Struthio camelus: one gene and its partner. The protein of the gene in region 2 interacts with the protein of the main gene of each other region in a pairwise test. Links are inferred from orthologs where the notes say so. Each region holds a gene or a part of one and is shown on either strand. Other genes may lie near its edges.

Region 1 (7,366 bases), on a different chromosome or scaffold from region 2:
AGGAGGACCTGACCTAGGTGTGCTAGTTACACAATAAAGGGCAGTAGGCCTGGCACCAGAGAACGGAGAACTATTCCCACCTTTTACTTCATTCAAGAACAGTGACTTAATTTAAGAGACATTTTCTAAAGAGAAATAAAGAGTGAATGAGAAGACACGGGAATTCAAAGCAGCTTTTACTTTTGCTCCATAACACGCTTCAACCTGGACTCCGATCCACTCCATGCAACAGGGATGGAAAGCAGTATCAGAAGTCCTTAAAAGACTTTTACAGGACAAGGCATGATTGTAGAAAGAAAAACAGCGTCAATGTTGTTTTATGCCAAATCCTTTGCTTTTTCTTCATTTGGGAGTTTATCCTTTTGGGAATGTTTCTGTCAACATCAAAAAGCATACATCTTAACAGAAGGGAGCTGTTCTATTTTCCAAGTAAGTAAGAAAAAACAGTGGGGAAAGGAAGATAGCATCAAGTGAAGACTCTTTCTGTTTGAAACACAGGGACAGAAAGGTATCCCAAATGTTCAAAAGAAACGCACAAATGTTGCGAAGAAATCAGTGGAAAAGAGTCAGTCAGTCAATCAATCTTTAAACTTTATACAGTTATCTTTACTGGAAGCTACCTAGATGACAGTCAACCATGTTGTTACAAATTGAAGTTTTCTGGAAAAAAAAAAATCTAAAAACATTTTTTGATAAGTTAAAACACTTAAGTTCAAATGAAACACATTTCCTAAAATAATAAGGTTTTATACAAACCAAGACACATACCGGACAGTTTGACCTCCAGTTTTCTTATCTGTTCGTTTCTTCTCAACAACTGGGATGAAAGATCCTCCCTAGAGCTGCTTCCATCAGAAGCCTCAATAGAAAAACAACATCCATGTAACTTACAAAACTTAGAAAAAATGATCCTGCCATATACTAACTTTAACGATAATGAACACTATCCCACCTAGGAAGGACGCTTTCATTTTTCACGAGGGGAGAGTTGTACTAGCACAGCAGAATGTACAAAAGATGCTGAAGAAGAAAAAAAGCAAGAGCTTAAATGGTCAGCTCTCCAATGTGGGCCTGTTCCGTGAAATACAAGACTTTTAAAACCCATAGCTGCAAATTATTTGTTCAGACTGATCACTGAGGAGACAGCATAGCAGAGCGACTGGAAAAAGGAAAAATTAGGTTATACAGTACACATTCTGGGATGAGTCCAAGTGAGAGGAGTCATTTTGGAAAACTAAGTAACTGGAAGAAGGAAAAGTAATACTTTTCACGTTGAATAAACTCCCTTAAGCACTTATCCAATAGTCATTCCATGCAAAATCCACTGCATAGCTAACATATGTTTCTCTATAGTTTTTTTTTATAAAAATCAACATTAAGAGCAAGTAAATGGGAACTACTAAAATAACTCATTCTTGAAGATAGAGTTTTATTTATATATTTCATATATATATCTCTATATACACACACACACACACACACACACAGAGCGAAAGAGAATCATAAAGGGACCTGCTGTGCTAAAGCAATATAGCATGTATTAGCTGTTAGCTCCAACAGCAGTGCTACACCATGACTTAACCCAGGTTTTGAGAAATACAATAGCCATCTACGGGCAGAGGTGCCAGCGTTGTAGGGTTTCATTTAACCCACATGCAGCTATAATTATACAGCTTGCTTAAACAATGCTTCATAATGAATCAAAGTTTAAACAAGACAGAGGAACCAGAACAGTTTTACTTGCATGCAACAAAATGGAATATGCTTTCTTAGCGGTTACATAAACAATATGCTCAAGCAGCAAGTGTACCAGCAACTCGAGAGGCAAACACAGGACCAAATCACTGCTAATCAGCATCCGGCTTCCTTGTCTGCTGCTTCAGTACTTACTTCTGTAGGTAGGTGTCTTACACACTGCTAAAGGTTTATTCAGTATTTTCCATCTGTTTAACAATGGTCTTCATTGAGATAGTTTTGTAACTTGCGTTTAAACATAAACTTGCGTTTGAACATAAGCCTCCTAGTAACTACTGCTATTAATACATAAATATTTTCTTTTCAGTAGCTAGTTTCTTTTCACTGAAGCTAGTGATTCATCTACACGTTAAGCTCTACACCTACATAAACGCCCTATCGCATACCGGAACGCATACGCGGCTCACGCACCGGACTTAAAATGGTCGCCTGCCAACCCGCACTGGAAAGGCTGAAACAAAAAGCAAAATTCCAAGCAAAGTGCAACTCACAAAGTCGTCTCCCGAGTCCGCTCCCATGGACGCAATCGACTCCTTGCTGACAGACCTAGGTATCCTGGCAGCTCCTCCCGGGCGAGGCGCGATACCTGCCTCTTCCGCGATCTTCTTCTTCAGTTTTGCAAACATTTTACTGCTCTGCAGCCCCGAAATAGCCAAGTATTTGGCAAAGCCGCTCCCTCCGGCACGGCTAGCGCGCTGGCGCTCCGCGTAGAGCTTCCAGACGTCGAGACTTAATTTCGTGCCTCATCCACTCAGTTTTATTGCCTCTCTAGTTCCATTAAAGCCTTCATGGCCTAACAGGACCTGCACGTTAAGGAGATAAGGTTTCCGTACCGCGGCTTTCCACCAGTTTTAAATACCTCCACGCAACCGAGCGCCTTTTAATTCCGTGCGTGTCGTCGCACACTCAGAGCGCGGAGCAGAAGCCCTGCAGAGCTCCCGCCGGCCGCGAAGCGCGCCCCAGGCGGAGGCAGCGGGCCCGGCCGGCGGCTGCCGAAGGGCCCGGCGAAGCCCCGCCGCCACCGCGCCGCTCCCGCCGCCGCGGCCCGGCCACGGCCGTCTCGGCCCCGGCCCCTCAGTCGCCTCACGGCGGCCCCCAGCCCGGTGCGTGCCGCCGCGCCGCGCCCCGCCGCGCCGCCCCGACCCCCCCCCGCCACCGCCACCGCCACCGCCACCGCCGACCGCTGCCGCCGCTGCCCCTGGCGACGCCGACCCGGAAGCGCCGCGCGGAGCCGGAAGCGCCGCGGGCTGCGCACGCGCGAGGCGAGGCGAGGCGGGGCGGGCATTGGTAGCCCCGCCCCCTCCCCTCCCCTCCTCTCCTCTCCCCTCCCCCCCCCCGTCACGGCCGCCGCGCGCCCCGCCGCGCGACAGCCGCCTCCTCACAGACAAGCGTTTGCCACAGTTTATTAATCGCGAACTCCTTCCATACCACCGGAAAAGGCAAGGTAGTCATGACAACAGGCAAATCATACAGGTTAGCAAACAAGAGCGTTACGTCTGAAACACCACGCGTCTACAGAAGAGGTACAGAGCTGGGGGCGGGCGGGGGGCCGCGGCCCGCCACGCGCGGAGGGGCCGGCGGGGCAGGCGGGCCGCGCGCGGAGCGGAGCGGAGCGGAGCGGCGCGGGAAAAGGCTTTAACCTTGGTCGTGGCAGCAGTAAGCAGGCCTTGCGTTTCGGTTTTAGTTACCGGTACAAACCGACGTGGAAACTAAGGTCTTTATTTCTGAAGTGGAGGAGTAACATCACTTCTCACTTGTAAGCGTAGCTTTTAACTCTTCCCTGAAATTTTCAGCAGTAATACAAACATACTTCTTTCCTCCCAAAGACACCAAAACCAATGGCAGAATATTCTCTGGTAGTGCATTGCTTTGGCAATTCATAGATCCCTTGCAAAAAAAAAAAAAAAAGTCTATTTGCTCCAAAAAGTTTATTTATATATCTCTATATATTTTAAGTAAAATATTTTTTTTTTTTAGCAAAATATGATATACAGGCACATGGCTGTAAAATAACTTTAAACCAATCCACTATAAAATTACTTTTGGTAATAAATAATCTGATACTCAGAGAGGCAAAACACTCCTTTAACCCTTGGTAGATGGACTGTCTGAGACATAGTTCATCTTTCTGTATTTCCAGAATGTCCCCTCCCTCTCCCATCTATTTTTCTTGTACTTCTTGGTGAGCTGCAGGCCAGGGCATAAGCACCTTGTGCTTTTCAAATGCATGAGGCAGAATCCTGCTCCTAAAAATGAGTTACAACTGATAAGTGGTAATAAACAGATGGCAGAAGAAATCTGCAAAGTCAGTAGGGCAGATACTCAACACAGGCTTTTTTTGAAGGAATAATTACTGATATAAGATCCAATAAGGTCTAAAAATCTCTCAAGGCGCTCCTTTGGCCGAGTAAATAGTAAAGTCTGCTCTCAATGTGAAAGCAGGATCTGTAAGAGCAAAACGTCTATGCACACATCAGGGCAGCAGGCCCAGTAATAAGGGTACGTCAATGGGGATGCAGAGTTATTCCCTGGTCTTCTGAAAGAGCTCACAAATTCAGAAATCCTCAACTAGATCTCCTCCTCTGTCTTGGCAGAGCAATGGTTTAGAGGAAAAGTGATGAGAAAGTGGGGTCTGTCTCAGAAGAAGTAGCTTTACTTTCACTCCTAAATATAAACCAGAAGTATTTGTCCGATGCTTCCTCCTCTGCTCTATTTGTAAACATCCAGACTTTCACAATCTTTGAAATAGATTTGGTCCCACAAGCCAAATCGCTCTAGAAGTCAGAGATACTCAGCAATGTAAGAGAGCCATGTCAAGAATATGCAAGTCATCTACTCTGGACAGTTTTGCCCTGTCTTCTGCACCAGTATCCCTCTCAGAGGTTGACGGTGCAGCTTAGTCTGACATTATTGAGTTGCACAGAACAGCTTTCAGCTGCATGTGTTGGACTTTTTCCCTTGTGAGATTACTCTTGCTGTTACTGTCCATGGAGCTCCCTCAGCTACAGGAGCAACTACCAACAGCTACCAACACCGAAGCAGCCACTTAACATAGGATGGACAGGACTAAACATCTGCCACTGCTATCATTAGTGACCTGTAAAAACATTTACTGAAGAAGCTAACATAGATGAAGCTTTACAAAAGAAGTGTCAAGGCCAAAATGCTGCTGAGAGAGATCCCAAGCTAAAAGCTTTTGGGAAAAAGCAGACCAAGCATAGCACGGAGTCATACTACACAGAAGAAGCGGGGCGGGGGGTAATTCAAAACGGCATGCCTGTGGATGAATCTTGGAGCTGTACTTTCATCCCATCCTTAGACAAGAAGCCTGACCAGCGCTACTGAACTTGTAGCTTTTGAAGACGATTATTTGAAGCCTAACTTCCTGTCCCCATCTACCCTCAGTGATCCTTAGAAAGACATCTCCACACTGCTCCCTGTAGAATATTAAGGGTTTTAATACATCATGACCTGATGGATATTATTTTGACAAACTACCCAAACAAACTCTCCTGAAACTTCTCACGAAAGCACTCCAGGGAGCAACTCCACTTTGCACAGCTCACAGAAGTTAGTGCTCCATTTTTGTTGCCACAGAGCAAAATGACAGCGTCCAAAGAGTAAAAACAGAGCTCTAAAAATTCATGGCCCTATTTTCCCCCTCACTGTTATTTTGAGAAGTCAAGGGGGTGGGTGAGGGAAGGCAACAGCACTGACTTTGGCTAGATGTTCTAAAGCCAATTTGAACAGAGGAGTACAAATAGAGATGCCTACCGTGGAAGTACAGTTAATTCAAACATATCACATGCAGTAAATTAGGGGGCTAGGCAGGAGAAGTCCAATAAGGAGACATTCAATCAAGTTCACCTTTTCCTCTCTTTAGATATTACATACAGAATTTACCCTTTTAATTCAGTATTGCCTAATGGTAGCAAGTCTTCTCCACTAACATAAGCAATAAGGATATATGGAGAAAGGGAGAGGGATACAAGAGAGAAGGCATTAGGCCTGAGAAGAAAAGGATCTGTTCTCTCCTCACTTGAAATTGTTCAGCCTTTGCTTCCCTATAGCGAGATCTGCTAGATATATATACCAAATTTTTCTTCAGTACATACAAGTATACATAGAGAAGGTACCTACAACCATAGCACACAGTACACAGTAGCACAAATTTAGAATGACTTAGTAAATTCAAACAAGACAAGCTTTTACTTGGAGGGAAAAGATCAGTGTTTTTATCTTGAATGCAGCTAGCTGCTTTTTTTTTTTTGGGGGGGGGGGTGGGGGGTGGGGGGGTGTCTGGCTCAAAGTCCAAGACCAAATACTCATCTTATCTACAGCTAGAGCAGACAGAAGGTATCAGCCTTTTTCTTATAAAGTACAATTTCTTACTCCTACTGACACAACAGGAGTAAAATCTTTATCTTTGAATATTCCTATCAGCAGCATACCTTTTGAACCAAAGGTCACTAGGTGAGAAGAGAATGTGGGACCTCAAGAATGAATTTTTTACCTGAACAGACAAAGCTGATGTGTTTAGCTTCTGAACTAATTTTCAAAGCCACATATTCTCCTCCATTCTAGCTTCTTTAGTCACTTTTTTTTTTAAGCGCATTCTCCTCTGATTAGATCTACTTAGGTAACAAGCAAACAGAACCTCTTCTCAGGGCTGCATAGTGGCTTAGAGGCCTTGCAGATCGCAAGCAAGAACTCCTCGTCTCAGCCCAGCTAAAACACGATCTAGCGTCTGCCAAGGCTTTCCCAGTCAGCTAGAAGGCAATATTTCACAGAGGTTCAGCAGCCCACACTAAAGGGATCTTTGCTCCTGTGCTTCAAAATAGCACACTATTTTCCAGATGCATGGAACCAAACTGAGAATAGCTTCATCAAAGCAAAAGCTAAAGCAGAACAAAAGCATCTGATTGGAAGGCAGTGAGCTGGGGAAAAATAAGTTCCCCTCTTCCATGCACATTAAACACTGCTGGTGGAGGAACAGCAGGGAGGGTAGCAGATACGATAATCTGTGACTCTCACTTGCTGCTGCTTTAAAGGCTTTCAGTATCTTTAGCTTCCACGTATGATCCCACGTTTTAATAACTGGGGACCTCCTACCAGAAGGAAAGGCAGATCATCAGCTTCACCATTAAGAATCCATGAATCTAATCACTGTCACATACATAGGAGTACTCATAACCCCTAGCTAAGGCTTCCTGTACCCGATTGCAGTTCTGAATTACTTCAAGGACTAAGTGCAAGTCCCTGAAAACAGAATTATAATGGTAGAAGAGCCATAACCTTTACTACAACCACAAAGGATCTGGAACACCTTGTGGAATGCACCCAAAATGGCGTATGTGTGTATATATAAATGTTGTATATAAAGACATTGTACTGTTTCATACTTTTTAATACATATACAAGTACCTATACATATATACATATTTACAATTTACACTAGCAAGTAGATGTATGTGTATTGTACATATACACACAAACGCCTAGAATACACATACACACACAAACACACACTCTTTAAAATAAACTCCACATCCCAGTCCTGCTATAGTCCAAAGAAGAGCAGCACCAAGTGGTGAGGGGCCCAACATACCAG
Region 2 (6,929 bases):
GTTTGCTCGGTAAGAAAAATGTAGGTGGACAACCAGGACTGTTTCCATATCCATCTAAAATAATTGAACGGTAAATTGCAAATGTAAATTGCAGATTTAATCCTTTTTTTTTTTTATTACTTTAATTTCAAATGTCAGTGATATTTACATAACAGGATGGAAACATAAGAAAGCGAGGGGGTGAGTAAGCAATGAATGATTTATTAAAGGTTCCATTTGGTGTACGAGTCCAAAACAAATGAGGCACAGCATATGGCTAACTTATTTTCTCTTTGTATGTAATAAAAGATGGACGCTAATACTCCCAGCTTGATCTTTAACCACATATATTTGCTTTTCATTCTAGTTTCAAAACGGAACATCTATAAAGCAATCCCTAAAGAGCTTACAAGGAGAGTCTGGCAGAAAAGATCCTTCAGATAGTTGTTTGTGCTGCATGAGGAGAAAGGCAACCAAGCGCTGAGAATTAGCCTGAGCCGTAGAGTCTGTCAGCAACTCTCCCGGGAAATTGCTCCCAGTTTCTAGGTGTTTTGCCTCATTCCTCCTTTATATTTTCCCCGAGCACTCTGTCTCCTGGAAAAATTCCTGTTGGTTTCGGGAAACGCTATGTTCACTGAAGCGCAGTTGTCCTGGCACCCCAGAAAAAAGCAAAGATCTCAGGCTACCTTACTTTTGCTGGTTGCCTTCTGGGCGCCAGTAACACGTCTGCCCCTCACTGCCCTGGTCCATAAGGGCCCTAGCAGCCCCCCACCAACAGGCCCCCCCGGGGCTTTGCACGCAGACAGTCTAGACAGTGCAGGAAGATGTTACTATGGAAACATTTACATCCTTTCTTTTGTGTACCCCCTGCATATTTGCTGGGAGAGGAAGGAAGCTTCCTTTGCTTCTCAGTGTTAACCTTTAACAAAAATAAGGCCTATCTGTTGACCTTCGGTCTTGACAAAGGAGAAGGGCGAAAGGAGGAGGAACATTAGTTTTTCACCTCCTGGTGCTGCCGTTTGGCCTGAGATGGCTTTCTGCAGCGCTGTATTTATCTCGGCACAGTTCATCACTTCCTAGCAAGGTCACTTTGGCCTCTGTCCTGCAGTGAGCCCTGCACAAGCAACTCCTTTTGCCTGCAGCTGGCCCCTCACTTCTGGATATAGATGGAGCTTTCTTATTACAGGAGCTTTCTTTGCTGAGAAATGGTGCCCAATACAGGAAAATAACATCAACTGCACTAAAGCTGATAACATGTCAGCAGGAGGTTATTGACCATGCACATACATTAATCTTCATTCAGAAGCCTTTTTTTTTTAAATCAGCATAGATTTAATTTTCTTCAGAGCTATCAGACTTGCCCGTGCAATGTTTGAGCCAGAAACGGATTTTGCAGTATTGGAAAGGGACACTTCTTAGACACTTTTGAGTTAGTAGTGGGTAGCTAGTAGTTCTCTGCTTAGAAGATACTTGTAATTTTCTATTTACAAAAATTCCCAAAGATTTTTTTACTTGAATGTAAAGAAGTATCTTCTACCTCAATCAAAAAACTTTAGCCATGAAGAAGAAACCTTTAGCATAACATGGGCAAGTGGAGAGAGATGATTTATAATGGAATTAGAGATGTATCTTACGAAATTATGTAACGAGTAATTCTGTAGTCCTTCGGGAGACAGGGAAAACGCACTGTTGGCTAAGTAGCTGGCTTTTGGTTAGTTGGTTTCACTTTCTGGGTAGGGGACAGTTAAAAAATTTCTGTCTGGAGCTCATAATGCAGACAAATTTCCACATACATGTACATACATACAAAATGGAAACCAGGCAGCTACGAAACAGGCAGATCTGGGTTAAGTTCCTCATTGCCTCTTTCATTTTTGCTCCTGTGATTCTTGCTCACACATACCCAGAGTCCTTTCAGGGGAATCTATAATTATCTTCTCAAGATGAAGGATAGGGTGTGTACAGTGTTTCCATTTATTTAGCTGCGATTTCAGTTTTACAAGCATCCTTTTCTTTTCACTTAAAGGAGGGGCAGGCAGGCAAGGTGGGGGATGTGAGAGCTTCCCCTTAGCCAGTCAGGGCATCAGGATGCTGTCTGCGCAGCCGCCCAGCCGATCACCCACTTGACTTCTTTGAAAGCTGCTGCATCCCCCAAATTTTGCATTGAAGCAAGATCTGCCTACTACTTGGTGCGTTTATCAGAACAGTCGTTTTAGATCACTGAATTGCTGTTGTGATGTTTTCTGGTGTTGGAGGGCATTTTTCTCCACCGCCTCCATTTTAATGAGTCATTCCAAAATCTGTGCTTGCTTCCAGAAAAAAAAAAAAAAAAACAACAACATGTAGGGAAAATTACCTTTTTTATTCAGTGATTGCATTCAGATTACAGATGCAGAGTGACATATTCTGATTTGTGGTGATGATGGTACATCGGACTGCTAAAAGCAGAAACTGGGTCACGCCCGTCCTTGCAAATTATCAGTCAAATAATAAGTTCCAAGCAGTTACGCCTATGCAAACTAAGTGAAGGCCATGGCTTTACACAACTACTACCGAGGCCCTAACTGGGAAACAAAGGAGCTTTTGGCAGAAGTAGCTGAGGGCAATTTGACCTACACGATGATGGCATTTGAACAAGCCAGAACCCACCTCAGCTCCCAGAGCCGATACTGTACTGCAAGGTTGGCAATGGGGGAAAAACATCCATTTGAAGCTGGATAGCTCTGACACAGTGAGAAAAGGTGCAGGTAGAAATCGGTGCTGTTGCTAGGGTCTGAGTGATCCAATGGCACGCTGCCACTCTAAGGCGACCTTCTCACTCCAGCTCACTTGAGCTGACTGATGTTTGCCTGACCCAAGTGAAAATTAGGGGACCTAAACCAGCAGAAAATGACTGACCCCCATCAGTTTTCCTGCTGGGTTAGCTAGCTGGCTCACCCAAGGGGCCAGATGAGCTTGTGGGATTGTACTGCCAGGAACCGGGTGCAGGGAAGGGAGCAGGACTGCCTTCTTTCCGAGCCTCAAGTTGATTTAGATCAGATAAAGCATAATGTGAAACTGCACTTTAGAAACTTTCCAAGGTGACGCTGCCCTGTTCAGCTGTTAGGCTATGTAGGTGATCCACTAACGCTCATGTTAGCCCGAGCAATGTCTGTACAGAGAACAGAGAAGCAACTGTGTCAATGTGAAACCGTATGGGAGGAGAGGAAGTTCTCTTTCCTCAGCTAGGAAATAACCTAATTCATTTTTAGCTTGTGGATCTCCAGCACAACTCCGCATGAACCACTCCAGGTCAATACTGCGCCAGAGCTGCAGCAAGACCAGCAGGCCCAGTTCGAACATGCACACGTTAATTAGGCTGCATGTGGTACAGAGGGATAGACACACTGTCTGTGCCCCAAAACAGCCATAATCTAAGGGCTGCATTTGTCTGACAAGCAGGGAGGGAAGGCCAAGCTGCCCTGGGCGGACACGTTATCTGCAGGAGCAGGAGCTCATGGTGGCCCACTGCCTGGTCACTTCAAGGCAGTGAGCCTATGCCTGCGCCTCAGCCTGCGAGCCCTGAACTCAGCAGGGCTTCGGGCAGGGGACCACAGGAGCCATTGGAGACCAAGGGGGAAAGCGCTGCTTCAGGAGGGGTAGGGAAGGGAAAGGCCGGAGCCGCGGTGAGGGTCGCAGGCTGCAGACTGCGCAAGGAGCAGCACCACCCCCACACTCCCCACAAGGCGCCGTTTCCCCAGCGCCCTTCTCCTTTCCCCCTCGGCATCTGGCCTCTTTCAAGTCCTGGCCAATGGCAGCTCACCGTACACGTGAATAACTCGCTTCAGCCAATCAGCGCCCCGCTTCCCACGTGGCCACGTGCGTGATGCCTCCAGCCCGAGAGCCCTGCCTTTGCTGGCGGTTAGGAGCCCCCTCCCCCATCCCAAGCAGGGGAGGAGGAGCGTCCTCAACTGCTCCGCCACGTGACGCGACCGCGCTGAGCGCGGCGACGGCCGGCGCGACGAGCATCATATAGTCCCCCCCCCCCCCCCGCCGGCTGTTCCGTGGCTGAGGGGGTTGGGGTGGTAGCTCCTGCTGGTGGCTCTGGCGGTTAAAGCGTAGCTGGTTGGAAGTAGAGAACCAAGAAAGAGAGGTTGCACGCCGCCGAGCGCTGGGGAGGGGCAGGTGACGGTTGGCGGAAGGACACACCATCACCGGATCTCGTTTCTTCGGCGGTAGCACTATATAAAGATGGGGCGCGGACATTGCCACCTCATTGTCTGTCTGTAGCTGAACTTAGGAATAGTAGTGGCAGTGGCTGTGCCCGTAGCACCTCCCCGCGCAGCGCGGACCGGAGCAGCCTCCCCTCCCCTGGCCGCCATGGCTCTTTAAGGGCGGCAGGGCCAGCGGCGGCATCGGCCAGTGCAGCAGGCGCAGCAGCAGCGGCGGCGGCCTCGGCACATCCCCGGCATCTGCAACCATGGCGTGAGTACCGTGTGGGAGGGACGGCGATCTCTCTGCCTTCTGTTTTGCCCTTCTGTGTTTTTTCCCTTGGAGTGGGTTTTCTTGAGGAGGGGGAGGGATCGGTTTGTCACCCCTACGGTAATGAGTGGCATTTCCCGGGAAAAAGGTGCCTGGGTGATGAGGGATTTGGCAGGAAGGTCCGTCTTACCATGGTACGGTCTAGACTATGTTGATGAATGCCATTTCCCGGCTGTAAGCTCAGCCTGTCATGGGGTGGAATTGAAGGAAATAATATTTTGAAAGAAACTATGAGGAGTTTCTGTGTTATCTCTAGTTCGGGAAACTCGGTTCTCAAGAGTAGGGAAGTAGGGTTGGGATTCTTATTTCAGTGGGACTTTTTCATCCCTGAGGAAGTGTGTTTTCTTTTTTTTTCTTCCCCCAATCTAATATAGGGGAATGGGGGAAAAATAGGGCATTGGAGGCATCGGACTTGTAAGGGTATAAATACCATTTTGTGTTTTATCCTGAGTAGATTATTAGGGACGGTTAGTAGTAAAGTGGCAGCAGTATTGTAATGCTTTAATAACGTAGTGTTAAGCGTGCCCTGAATGTCCGGAGGGGGGTTTCATACCTTCTGGATACTCCACTGAAGGTGGTGCGTGACAATCGATTCACCTTGTCGTCCAGCTTCCCCATTTTGTAAGTCGGCTTATTTCAGAGACTTTCCCAGTCCTGAGAGGTTATTCCAGTTCCATCTGATTTAGTATTGTCCCCCCCCCGCCCCCAGTACCGAGGTCTACTCTGCCCTTACAAAGTCTTAGCGGTCATCTGCGAGACACCAGGTGCTCCTCGATAAGCCCCAGTGGAAACGTGGCAGGATACAAAATGGCGGCCCGTGTCTGCGGTAGGCAGATGCAGGCAGCAAGATCATGAAATGGCTGCGGCTGCTGGCGTAGGCTTTGCGTCAGGGCAGCGGGGTGGGCGGGGCTCTGCCACAGGCGCCGTGCCCATATATGGTCATGAGGAAGTCGAGTGGGTCTCCCGCGGGGGTTTTCACACCGGAGGGAAGGCCTCGTGGTTATTACAGCTGGCTCTGCTGTGTAGCAGGAGCTCTGGCGAAGCGAGAAGCCTTTAGGAAGGAGCTCGGATGCAAAAATGGTATGTTGCCAGCAAAGGGCAGTTGTAAAAATGGGGAAGTCACATGAGCCTATTGTGTTCTGTGATATTTTGTTAAATGCCACTTATTTTGAAAAGTTATATCCCAGTAGAGTAAGGGCTGGATTGAATTAATTTGAAAAGTCACACTTGTCACTGATGGACTTCAAATGTCATCCTTGCAGGCTTTTCAAGGCACCGCACAGCAGCATTGCTGTAATCGACGTAAACACCCTCTACTTGTCTGCATCCTTCGACATCAAAGTACTAAAAATCGACCAAGATGAGCCTCTTGAACAACGAGATGCTGTTGGGGGATTCGTTGTCCCCCTTCAGCCAGCCGTGTTCGGTGGCTGAGGAAAGTCTGGGACTCCTAGATGACTACCTGGAGGTGGCCGAGCCCCTCAGTTCGCATGGGTTCTCCAGCGAAAAGGCTAAGGCAGTCTCCTCCAATTGGCTCACTGTGGACAGTTTAGGCAACACCATAGATAGCAGCCAGGGTAAGGTATTTTGCTTGTAAGGTACATCTGTTTTGATAATTGCACATAAATGTTTAGTAATGTTACCTTGAGAATTAAACTGCTAAGTTTTCATGAATGTGTAGAAGACGGCCTCACATGCATGCCTGTAGTATTATGCTGCATTATACAGATCCTTTCCAGATGAGACAAAACCGTGTGTATGGTGAAGTGACACTTCTCTAGCCATTTTTGTAACTTACCAATTGCTACAGTAGTATTCCCTGGAAGGGGCTGTGAGAAACTGAACAGTTGTGTGTTTCCAAGGGCCCTGAATATTTTTACCCCTACAGACCTTAGAGGAATAAGAGGGATGAAATGCCTGAACAGCTGGATGGCTTACGTTGTCCCTGGCAGTCTCTTGCAGCTAATGGCAGCAGAATTTTTCTGCTAGTTGAATTTTTCATACCAATATAAGAACTGGGGAAGGTGTTAAGATTTCCATTCTGTATAACTTTCAGAAGCTTGAACTGCGTTTGTGGCTAACTTAATGAATTGGTAACTTGCTCTCTTGTGCAGAGGATGCCTTCTCTGGCATGGAGTGGATGGTGGAGAAGATGGATCTGAAGGAATTTGACTTTGATGCCCTGTTAGGTATGGAAGATCTGGAAGCCACCGTCTCACCAGACGAGCTAATGGCCACGTTGGAAGACACGTGTGATCTCCTGTTTAACCCTACCACCCAGGAATTTCACAACAAAGAACCTCCACTGATAACTGACCTAATCACTACTCTCCCTGAATCTCCAATTGGAGCAGATCACATGGCCCCATTGACTTCCCTTTGGTCTTTTCCCCTCTCCCCAGGGTCTCTGACTTCCACTCCAGACCATT

What was found.
Region 1: the proteins of ATF4 (region 2) and GOLGA1 interact in binary tests that used the Homo sapiens proteins (3 or more experiments, as listed by UniProt). The two-hybrid records come from large-scale screens. The link is inferred for Struthio camelus from reciprocal best matches to the Homo sapiens genes ATF4 and GOLGA1.

The regions. Positions count from the first base shown.
Region 1 is NC_090961.1:1,283,420-1,290,785, forward strand, and holds the start of GOLGA1 (golgin subfamily A member 1), read right to left. Parts: upstream 3,020-7,366; 5' UTR 2,937-3,019; intron 2,559-2,936; 5' UTR 2,382-2,558; coding exon 2,247-2,381; intron 1,072-2,246; exon of another isoform or gene 953-1,071; intron 860-952; coding exon 769-859; intron 1-768. UniProt on the Homo sapiens protein: Involved in vesicular trafficking at the Golgi apparatus level. Involved in endosome-to-Golgi trafficking. Mechanistically, captures transport vesicles arriving from endosomes via the protein TBC1D23.
Region 2 is NC_090942.1:57,908,211-57,915,139, reverse strand, and holds the start of ATF4 (cyclic AMP-dependent transcription factor ATF-4), read left to right. Parts: upstream 1-3,899; 5' UTR 3,900-4,443; intron 4,444-5,762; 5' UTR 5,763-5,860; coding exon 5,861-6,077; intron 6,078-6,614; coding exon 6,615-6,929. UniProt on the Homo sapiens protein: Transcription factor that binds the cAMP response element (CRE) (consensus: 5'-GTGACGT[AC][AG]-3') and displays two biological functions, as regulator of metabolic and redox processes under normal cellular conditions, and as master transcription factor during integrated stress response (ISR).